Arabidopsis thaliana: one gene and its partner. The protein of the gene in region 1 interacts with the protein of each later gene in a pairwise test. Each region holds a gene or a part of one and is shown on either strand. Other genes may lie near its edges. The genes, in order: RPN10 and AT5G45620.

Region 1 (5,392 bases):
GTGAACAAAGACAGACGCACCTGCCTCCTCTTCCTTCTTCTTTCTAATATTATTCATTTTCATTTGTAAAGAAACGACTTTTTCAAAAGGTGTTAGGTAGATGCAATAGAAGCTTCTATCAGTTTTTCTTCTTTCTTTTTTTTTATGTTATAGTTTGTGAGTCTTGTGACTCTTTTTGTCTTTCCCTTTCTTGCTCTAAAAGGGAACAAAGAAATTTCGTCACTAATAAGTTTCCCCAATAAAAAGTCTTTAACGATAGTCATATTTAGCAATTCAATTTGTTTGTGTAGCATAGTTTACACGTACGTAGATGATCAAAACTACAGCTCGCATGTGGCAATTAGCAGACAAATACACATATCTTGGGATAAATATAAATTAAATAATGCAAATAGATTGCAATTAGCAGACTAATAAGCGCATATAAAAATTAGATTGCAAAGAACAAAAAAACGAGCCAACAGTAGAACAAAGGAATTAAGTACCTAACTGCCACGTGGGACTTTAATTACTTGGAGAAAAACATAACTTCGCAGAAATGTGAGCAAAATTTAATTACCAATGTAGACTTTTTGCACTGTCGTAAGAATATTTCAGATTTGACACTTGTGCAAGGTTCATTACGAATTTAGGACTCGCTATTCTACTGAATTGATCGAGAGACCTGTAACAAATAGGCTTACTTTCTAAGAGCCCATTGACATAAAGTCCAATAAAAATTAAGAAGGAAGCTAGTCCTTGACTCGTACAATAACAACATTATAAAAAGGCGAGAGAGAGAGAAAAAAACAAATTTCACAAGGCAGAGAGATTAGTTAAATTCAGTTCCAATCTCTATCAAACCAAAGAAACAAGAGGAATTTTTATTGAGACTCTCAGATCCTTCTTCACTTCTTCTCATCCTCGCCTTTTTTGCTACTACTCTCTTCCTCCTCGGTACGCTGTCATTTTAACCATATACATTTATCAGAATCTTCTTTTTCAAATAACAAAAAGATGTAATCATAAACATCAACAAAGACACACCTTTGACTCGTCTGGCAGAGACGCTAGTAGTTCTTTAACTGCCGGATCATTTGGATCCACCCCAGGAAGCTGCGTGTACACAAAGTCTTAGTACCAAAGCTAACCCTACTACTTTTCTCTTTCATTTTGCTTGTGAAAAAAACTGACTAAGGTTTATGTAGGCTTACCGATGAGAGAACAGACGATATGAAGGCTTGATTTCCCAAGAGGTTGTTTCCAGCACCTGTAGCTTCACTTGACTCTTCCCCACTCATTGACATTTGCAGAGCTGCACATGGAGTATAAAAAAATATAAGAAAAATGCCAATTTTGATTGCCATGGATATACTTTTACCACACTGTTCTACTTACCTAAAGCCAGATCCTGGTCCTCATCAGCCGCTTCTGACATATTCACATCACCAACAGACATAGCAATTGCCTGATCTAGCAACGCACTGTCCTCATCCTGCCACAAAAGGTTGTATGATTAACAATCTCTCCGCCTGTGACTATATAAGAATGCTACACTCAATTTTAAGTAACAACTAACCATTGGTTCAGCGTTCTTGTCAGTTGTCCTAGCAACTGTCTCCTGTGAGGCGGAAGCTGTGTCCCCATCTTTGTCTTTCTGACCTGCCTCATCGGCCGCCTTCTTGGCAGCAGCTTCTTGTCTTGCTCTCTCCTCCTCCATGGAGACCCGAAGGGCAAGAGCAAGTTCTGGATCGATATTTGGGTCCACACCAAAGTCGAAGTCCCCACCTGCGGCCGCTGCAGCAGCTGCCGCAGAAACATAGCCACTTGCACCCTCATCACCCGTGAATACAGGTGTGCTGGAAGAAAATTTAAAAGTTAAAACACTATCTATGATTCAAATCACTGTCTAAATGTTTTGTTGCAGCATTGATAAAAAGCAAGACTAGAGAGCTCAAAAGACCTAAACACACAAAACCACATGAAGTGCACCTACCAAGCCGGATATTGTTGAAACTGTTCCTTTTACAATCTACATAACCTAGAAAAAAAGAAGAAAAGGGATGGTACCTGAGAAGCACATCTGAGAGAGCATTGGCTCCAGAAGGAACATGAACAATGTGGCTACCGTCATTGTTATTCACAGCTGTAAGGAGCGCCTCGAGTTTCTGAGGCTTTTCCTCATCATCATCCTCCCCGAAATTGACAATATCAAGAGAGACACTATTCTTCTTCAGCCTTTTTCCAACTATCTCTAGGGCCTTCTTCTCGTACTTGATTGGACTAAAAAGTAGAAGCAGAAGAAAAACATCAGTATAAAACTATACAAAAGTTACTCAGCAAAAACAAAGCAATTCGGTACCTTCCAGCAAAAACAATAATCCTTTGGCGTTGATTCTTGTTTTGGCGATGCTTAAGAGCTAGCTGGGCGATCTGGATAGCTGCGGTTAAGTTGATCTCTCCTCCCACATCAAGGCCTGAAAAGATGACGCAAGTAGCAAATTGATGTCAAACTCAATGATAAAGAGAAAGAACAGATTTTTTCTAATTGCTCTAAGTAGACAGCTAATAATAAATAGAAAGATTGGAGAGAGAGATACATACCGTGCATACAGGCCAGAATTTTGCCAAGATCAGAGGTAGGAGTAGTCAATACTCTAACTCCTTTGCCAGCCATTGTCAAAATCCCCACCGTATTCTCCGGATTCGACTGCAATTGCAAAAAAGAAAGATCCCTAAAAATCACAATCTCACGCAAACCCAAAAACCCTAATCGAATCAAGTGAAAAAACGTAAATTATTACCTGGGTTTTGGCTCCGCAAAGAAGATTAACAGCTTCCGTTTGCGCCTGTAACCTAGACGGAGAGTAATCTCCGTTTCGCATCCACTCGGAGTTGTCGATACATATCATAGTCGCCTACAACAAGAAATCATCGATGAGAAAAAGCATTCAACGTGGATCATCAACGAAGATAAGCACAAGTAATTGGAAAATCACCTCGAGAACCATCGTGTCGATAAGCAGAGAGAAGCTTCAAAAATTCTGTCGTAGAGAGAAAGTCAGGAAGGCAAGATTTAGATTTTAGTTTAGACCGATAATAATAACATTGTTCTTCTTTAAATATCCCCTTTACTTTTTTACTTTCTCCTTTTAGACCCTAATGTTTTACGTTTATTTCAATTTAGCCCCAATGGTTGTTTTTGATAAAAAGCAAAACAAAGTTGATTTATTAATGAATAAAAGAAACACAGACCACATTACAGTAATTCCTATAACTAAAGTCTTTCTTTTATTCAACATTGTTACCCCATAACTCTACAAAACATCAATATAAACCCCAAGAAGACAAACCACAGTTCACCAGAGAGGAATTTACAACGGTGCTAACAAACAAAAAAAGATACAACAAGCAGAGACGTTGGATCATCTTCTGCTATGCATTAAGAGCATTTGGGATGAGAGAAGATCTTGTGCTTCTGCTGATAGGCAAGTGAACATAAACCTCGTGAACTTCCTGCTTACATACATCCCCTTTGTCTCTATCAATCGCGTAACAGACATAGATTGTGTCAATCACATCGTCAAGAACATGTACAAAGAAAGCCAATATCACAATCAGTAACACCCACGCCAGTACAGCCACCACGTACGAATCTATACCCAGGTTGCTCACTCCTCTCAGAACAGCCCATGTCTGCTTTTGCGCATCATCAAACCCCGGAATTAGTCATTATGGCAATTATTAAATGCTTGGTTGGTGAGACAAGCAGAAGATAATACTTACCGCGACTGCATATGCGGCTGACAGGACAAAGACTATTCCGGTTAGGATTCTGGTGGAAACCGTTTCGACAAATACAGCTGACAGTAGGTTGCGTCTTAACAGCTCGTAAGTCATTTTCGCAGAGGTGCAATACGCTTCCCCTGTTATTGCAGCAAAGTTGATGGTGAACTTGTTGAGATAGTCAAGGGCACCAAGTAAGGCGTTTGCACAGCAACGGAGAACCATGTTCACTATTCCTTGTGTGTTCTCTTCTCTTGCATTGTCCACAATTGCCCGGACCACACGAACAATGCATATGAGAAGTCCTGATACACATATCGTACCAAAGGATTGACCAAATGCATTCCTGAAGAGACAGATACAAAAAATAATAAGATTCACACATGCTTTGACATAAACCAACAACAGATTTGAAGACTAATGCAAATTTGGATCCTCAAAGCTATAATCTCCTTTCAAAAATACCACTGTCTGTTGTCTCTTTTCACATTTAAAGTACCAAACAAGTTCAGATGATGGATTCCAATACAATATCCAATCTATAAGGCCAAGACTATGAATACCATGACCTAGAATCACTGAATACTCCAGAACGAAGCCAAGCAAGGGATACTTCGAATGACCATAGATTATATTTTATGAGGAAACAAAACTAAGAGAACTCAAAGCAAAAACTCCCGCGATCACACAAAACATATATTAGAACTAAGAGCACCATTGATTGTAAGAGAAACTGCACAGCAAATTCATTGATAACAAGAATAAAATAGAGAAAGATGTGGCAGCGAGTCACCTCAAAGAACTCCGGATGCATTTTTTAGGGATTGAGTCTTCCTTGGAGAAATACCACTGAGCAATAGCTCCACTTATCACATACACTTGCATTTCCACCATTACAGCAAGAGACCAGATCATCGTTAAAATGGCAAGAGCGTAATACGCAGGAACCCAAGAATCTTCTTTCCACTCACAAAAGTACTGACCATCCAACTCTCGCGGCACAAACTTCCCATTAAACCTTGCAAACACCAAGAACACCACAATCGGCGCATAGTACACCACTAACCCGAGAGTCAGCAGCGGCAGCACAACAAAAAGTTTCAAATTTTTGGACAAGGCATCAGATGCAACACTGATGATTTGGATAGTAAGATCAATTCTGTGCCAATTAGCTACTATGATCCAGACAATGATCCCGATGATCAAGAAAACAAAGACTAGGACAAGTATTCTGTAAGCTAGAGGGAGGGCATCGCTACAAGAAGAGCTAAGAGTACAGGCGACAAACCAATAGACATTGAAAAAGATGGGAAAAAGGACAAAGAGAGGTAAACAAGCATAAACAATCTGCTTAGTGTAGTGTTTGAGCAAAAGCAGGACGCTAAAACAGAAGGGCACGCTTAAAATAAGCGTTACAACAAGTGTCCAGATCAAATCCTTCTCAAAGACTGGATCAGACGAAGAAACCATGCCGTACATGACACTCGAAGAAGCCCAGTAGTACCCATCCGAAATTTTCGTAAAGGTAGAATTTTTGACGCAGGAGCTAGAGGTGAAATCGTAGGTGAAGGAAGAGGAGTTCCCGTAATCGTTATTTCTATGAAAAATGGAGAAGATTCCAAAACCA
Region 2 (5,379 bases), on another chromosome or scaffold:
AGAGTAATCCATTAACGCGTCATTGAAACCGCTTACTACTCTTTGAGAGAGTTCTCTCGGCGGAGAATAGCTTAAGAAAGGATCAGGAACTTGAATTTGTTTCCGTTGTTGTCCCGCTGAGGATTGTAACTGCATAGGGTGAGATAAAGACGATGAAATCTTCGTCGATGGCGGAGGAGCCGGTAGAAACGTTGGAAGATACGGAGGAGGTAGGGGGCGATACATATCGGCTTTTTTCAGGGTGGTTTCGATTGAATCGATGGCGAGGAGAAATTCGTCGTTAAATTCTTCATCATTTCCACTCATTCTCTTTCTCTCTATCGCTCGAATGACTGATAGCGAGTGAGTGGGAAAAGAGGCGAAATCGAAATACCCATTTAGTGAGCAGTACGCCTGACACGAATTCGGATATCCGGAACAATTGTGATATTTGTTATTCGATTGGTTTTAACGGAATATCTGATTTTGTGATTTACTTTAATTCAAAAAAATTTGGATATCTGAATTTTTATGTGATATTTTCGAATATCCATTTTGATACTGACATATTGTACATGTAAATATTAAACAAGACTGTAAACTATATAACAATATCAGATATTCAAATTTTTCATTTAACATGCTTTCAAAATAAATTTTAAATAGCAAACATAACCGTTGTTGTTATCACCGGTCATCAAGTTGTTGTTATCACCGGTTATCAAAATGTTATCTAATTAATTCCAAAACATAACCTAATAGATTAAATTGTCATTGATCAAAACATAACATAAAAGAAAAATGAGCAAATAAACATCTTAACATGAAAACATAAGGTAACAACAATATACAAACTATTTATGATATCTATATTTACGGATCCATCGTAAATAATCATCTTTCGCTTTAAAGTTTTTGATGGAGCAGTCGGTAAAACTTAGGATCCAAAAAACTTTTTGTACTATTACTATTATTTATGGTTAAAATTCTCTTTTTCTTATTAACTTGATTTCTTTATGTGTTTTATATTATTTTTATAAATAATTGAAAATCATTTTTAAAATTTGCAATATTTTATTAATATTGTAAAATACCGTCATAATAAAAATTATTATGGTAAACCATAAATAAGATTATTTAGTAATCAAATGACATTGATCTAATATTTATATTTTTCTTTTCTGAAAAAAACTTTCTGGTTCGTTTCTGTTCCGGTTTTCAAAACTCTGTCCGGTCATGTGGAATGCTAAATTACAAATCCACCTTATTATAATTTAAATTACATAAATACCCCTTAAAACTCACATATTTATACTTTGGTCCCGGTAGTTCTCTTTTCTTTTTAAATTAAAGGATTATCTGCTTAGCAAAAAAGAAGAAGAGAAAAGGCAATGTTTTGAAACCCGACCCGGACGATGAACCGGACTACCTTCTGGGTCACCGGGTCACCGGGTCAACCGGGTTGGACCACGGGTTAATTAGTTAAAATTTATTTAATAAATTTAATATTAATAGAAAATTTAGAGTATTTTATAATAAAAAAATTTGTAGTATTTATAAATATAAAACAAAAATAATCATATCATATTTAATCAAATATAAAATTATATTATATTTAACAAAATATAAAATCATTTACACCCAAATATATATATATATATATAGAAAAAATCAAACAATAATAATAAAGTGGTTAAAAATTTGAAATCCAATAAATGTCTAACACCGTAACAAATATATTAGGAGATCATCAATGACATAAATAAATTAATAAAACATCGTGAATTAAAACAACTAATCTCGGTTGTCTCTCTCACCATTCGATTCAATTTTAAGGCGGTATTGTAAAGTCTTCAACAAAATCTAAAACATCAAATGAATTTAAGAACTGAAAAAACTTCTAAAAATAATTGAATAAAGTCTAAAATCCCATATTTTATTGTAAAATCAAGAGAACTTTTTAAAACCCACACCCGGCCGGTTCAACCGGTTCACCGGGTCACGGGTTAATTGCGAGTTTTTGTGGGTTTTTTCGGTTTTGAACTTGTTGGGTTTTAGCACTAAACCCAAACCGGAAAAGTGTTCGGGTTACGGGTTAACCGGTCGGACCGGACGGTTCGGGTCGGGCGTGAAAACACTGAGAAAAGGGTTTTTTAGGATTCTTTAAACGCAGAGCTGAGCTGAGTTACATAAGATCGAGAGAATTCGCAAACTCGTTTCTTCATTCGTCTTCGTCTTTCGCCATGGCTGCTCTACAATACTTGGAATCTCTGAAAAATACGCATCCAGAGCTCGGCGAATGGTACAATTCCCTTGCAGATCTGTATCAGAAAAAGCTCTGGCATCAACTCACCCTTAAGCTCGAACAGTTCATCGCTCTCGCTGTCTTTCAGGTACTTTTGCTTCTCCTCCGTAATACTAATTGGTTTCAATATCTATCTAGGTTTAGTAGTGGTCCTTGTGGATTTTAGGGTTCATAGATCTCGACAAATATCGTAGAATCTGTGTTTTTACTTCCGAATAACACGAGTTAGAGATCCGTTTGGAAGATGATAGGGTTTTCTCGGATTAAGTTCTTCGAAGAAAGTTAGGTTTTAGGGTTTATAGATCAATTTTGATTGCTTCCAAGTTTTTGTGTCTGATCTTAACCTGTGTCATTGTTATAATATAATTTTTTTTCATTTCAGGCTGGTGATGCTTTGATTCAGTTCTATCACAATTTCATCACTGACTTTGAGACGAAGATCAATCTTCTGAAGCTTGCGCATTTTGCTGTGGTGGTCTCTCGACAGTACTCTGAGAAAGAAGCTGCAGTTAGCTATCTTGAAAGCGTGATTGAGAAACTTAGAGCTACTAAAGAGCCTAGGATTACTGAACCAATCATTTATATTGAAACACAAAAAGCTTTATTCAAGCTTGAGCAAGGTGATCAGAAGGAGTGCAAAAAAATCTTGGACGATGGAAAGAGCTCTCTTGATAGTATGACTGACATTGATCCATCAGTCTATGCCAACTTCTATTGGGTGTCTTCTCAGTACCATAAGTGCCGTCAAGAATTTTCTGATTTCTACAAAAGTGCTCTGCTTTATCTTGCATACACGTCTGTGGAGGACCTTTCAGAATCGTTTAAGCTGGTATGCCCCTGTAATATTATGTACCTTGTTCTTATATTTTGTTCTTATGTTAAGTTTCCTGTTAGCGATAGTGGATAAGAGTATTCAGAAATTTGATGAAATTTAGAGGAAACTGAAGAAAAAAGTTGCGTACTAGTTAGCTTCCCTAGAGTCACCGATCAAATTTTGCTAATGTCAGATCATATCTGTGTCTTTCAGGATTTGGCTTTCGATTTGTCACTATCAGCTCTACTTGGGGAGAACATCTATAACTTTGGGGAACTGTTAGCCCATCCCATTGTAAGTTTTCCTTCATCCTCGACATAAACTACTGTTATATTTTCTTGTGTAGATAAAAGGCTTCTTGTTGATCTTTAATTGCTTGGATTTACGATAGATACTGTTTGTGAGTTGAGACGGCTTCTAACTCTCATGTTATAGTTTTGCTTAGAATTGTAGATGGTTCTCTTACATGTAGCATTTCTCTGATGACAGTTGAAAAGTCTCCTTGGAACAAATGTGGAATGGCTCTACCACATTCTACAGGCATTCAACCATGGTGATTTAGTTCAGTATCAAGAACTATGCCGTGTGCACAACGCATCCTTGATTGCTCAACCAGCACTTGTTGAGAACGAGAAGAAGCTTTTGGAAAAGATCAACATTCTCTGCCTTATCGAGATCATCTTCAGGTAAACTTTTCTCTAGGCAATTGTACCTCACGCCGTTTCAATCAAAGAAATAAAATCATGTGCTAATACATTTGATTTTAAACTCTACATCAGCCGACCCGCTGAAGATAGAACCATTCCTTTGAGCATCATCGCTGAGCGTACTAAACTTTCCATTGAAGATGTTGAGCACCTTCTCATGAAGAGCCTTTCTGTAAGTATTAGTATCTCCTTGCATTTTTCTCTCTTGTGTTCTTTTAGTACCCAAAAAACTCTGCAGCTTCCGGGTTAAAATCTGTTGTGGTGACCAAGGAAAGAGTTTGTCTGAGTGACCAACATAATGATACTGAACTACCTGTCATCTGATTAAGAACAACATAGTAAACATCACCATACGCATTGTATCTCTAGGTTTATGTATTTGCAGTTGTCGTCTTATTGCGTAATTTTGTTATAGAACTCAAATGATCTTGACTGGTTTTGTTCCTGACTTAGACATAGAATGATTGTGTATGCTTCTGTAGAATCTAAAGTGGAAAATGAATGATACAGGTGCATTTGATCGAGGGCATCATAGACCAAGTGAACGGAACAATTTATGTCTCATGGGCGCAACCGAGAGTACTAGGGATTCCACAGATCAAGGCTTTGAGGGATCAATTAGACAGTTGGGTTGACAAAGTTCACACCACTTTACTATCTGTTGAAGCCGAGACACCAGATCTTGTTGCAGCATAAGAGAAAAGAAAACCTTCTTCCTCCTTTTGAAGCTACTGAATGTAAAACACCATCTTCTCTGGGATTAGATTCAAGTTTTTTATTTCAGTCGTAGAAGAAATTACAATTGCTTTTTAATCTTTTGACTTCCATTTCAAGATGTCCGAAATTTCAGTTCTACATTTAGACTATTTTCATACATTTTTTCTTAAAACATGTCCTTGACAATCATTCATTATTCACATAACCATAACAAGTCAATCAGTTTATAGAAAAAGTCATCTGATAGGATCTAAACGTGGACTCACTCACTCTGAATAGTTGATTTGAGCCTAAAATTTGGGGATTCTCGCGGCTTCTGGCACTGGTCTCCGATTACGTCACTTCCCGATGATTTCATCTTGGACTCATAGCGCGTATACCAAGATTCAATTCCCAACAATCTCACTCCTTTCAAGGCGTTTCCGATCATTGTTACGTTGCACAGAACATTGTCTCTATGCACTCCTCATAACCCTGAAACACGTCACTACCGTTGGTATATTCTTTCTCCGACGCAATGGCTTTATCCTTATCGCTTCTCTTCCTCCTATGCCTGCTCATGGAAGCTATATTGCTTTAGGTTCAAAAGATTTACGTTTTTAGATGGCGTTTATGATTCCGGTGTGACTTCGAGAGTGTTAACCACTGTGGAGATGTGAATTCTAAGAAGTGAGAGTATATATGCGTGTGTCGTTGATGATGTATTGTACTACTAAATTTGTGCTCTAAACCATAACAGCTAGACATAATTCTAAATTTCATGTTATGGTAGGAAGATTGTTGATTTCATTGATCTAAAAGACTAAAAGTGAAAATGTATTATACTTTTGGTTTTGTGCATTGAGGGTCATCAGTTT

The links.
Region 2: the proteins of RPN10 (region 1) and AT5G45620 interact in a two-hybrid assay, tested with the Arabidopsis thaliana proteins (one study listed by BioGRID).

What each region holds. Positions count from the first base shown.
Region 1 is NC_003075.7:18,056,470-18,061,861, forward strand, and holds RPN10 (regulatory particle non-ATPase 10), read right to left. Parts: upstream 3,130-5,392; 5' UTR 2,991-3,129; coding exon 2,979-2,990; intron 2,898-2,978; coding exon 2,784-2,897; intron 2,690-2,783; coding exon 2,584-2,689; intron 2,457-2,583; coding exon 2,342-2,456; intron 2,263-2,341; coding exon 2,050-2,262; intron 1,839-2,049; coding exon 1,559-1,838; intron 1,475-1,558; coding exon 1,378-1,474; intron 1,295-1,377; coding exon 1,194-1,294; intron 1,096-1,193; coding exon 1,027-1,095; intron 942-1,026; coding exon 888-941; 3' UTR 519-887; downstream 1-518. Other genes in the region: AT4G38640 (Plasma-membrane choline transporter family protein), read right to left, coding at 3,415-3,675, 3,766-4,111, 4,559-5,392. UniProt on the Arabidopsis thaliana protein: Plays a role in maintaining the structural integrity of the 19S regulatory particle (RP), subcomplex of the 26S proteasome.
Region 2 is NC_003076.8:18,499,368-18,504,746, forward strand, and holds AT5G45620 (Proteasome component (PCI) domain protein), read left to right. Parts: upstream 1-2,118; 5' UTR 2,119-2,222; coding exon 2,223-2,372; intron 2,373-2,666; coding exon 2,667-3,113; intron 3,114-3,311; coding exon 3,312-3,392; intron 3,393-3,587; coding exon 3,588-3,784; intron 3,785-3,877; coding exon 3,878-3,977; coding exon of another isoform or gene 3,978-4,055; exon of another isoform or gene 4,056-4,315; coding exon 4,316-4,501; 3' UTR 4,502-4,777; downstream 4,778-5,379. Other genes in the region: SUV2 (protein dimerization), read right to left, coding at 1-306. UniProt on the Arabidopsis thaliana protein: Acts as a regulatory subunit of the 26S proteasome which is involved in the ATP-dependent degradation of ubiquitinated proteins.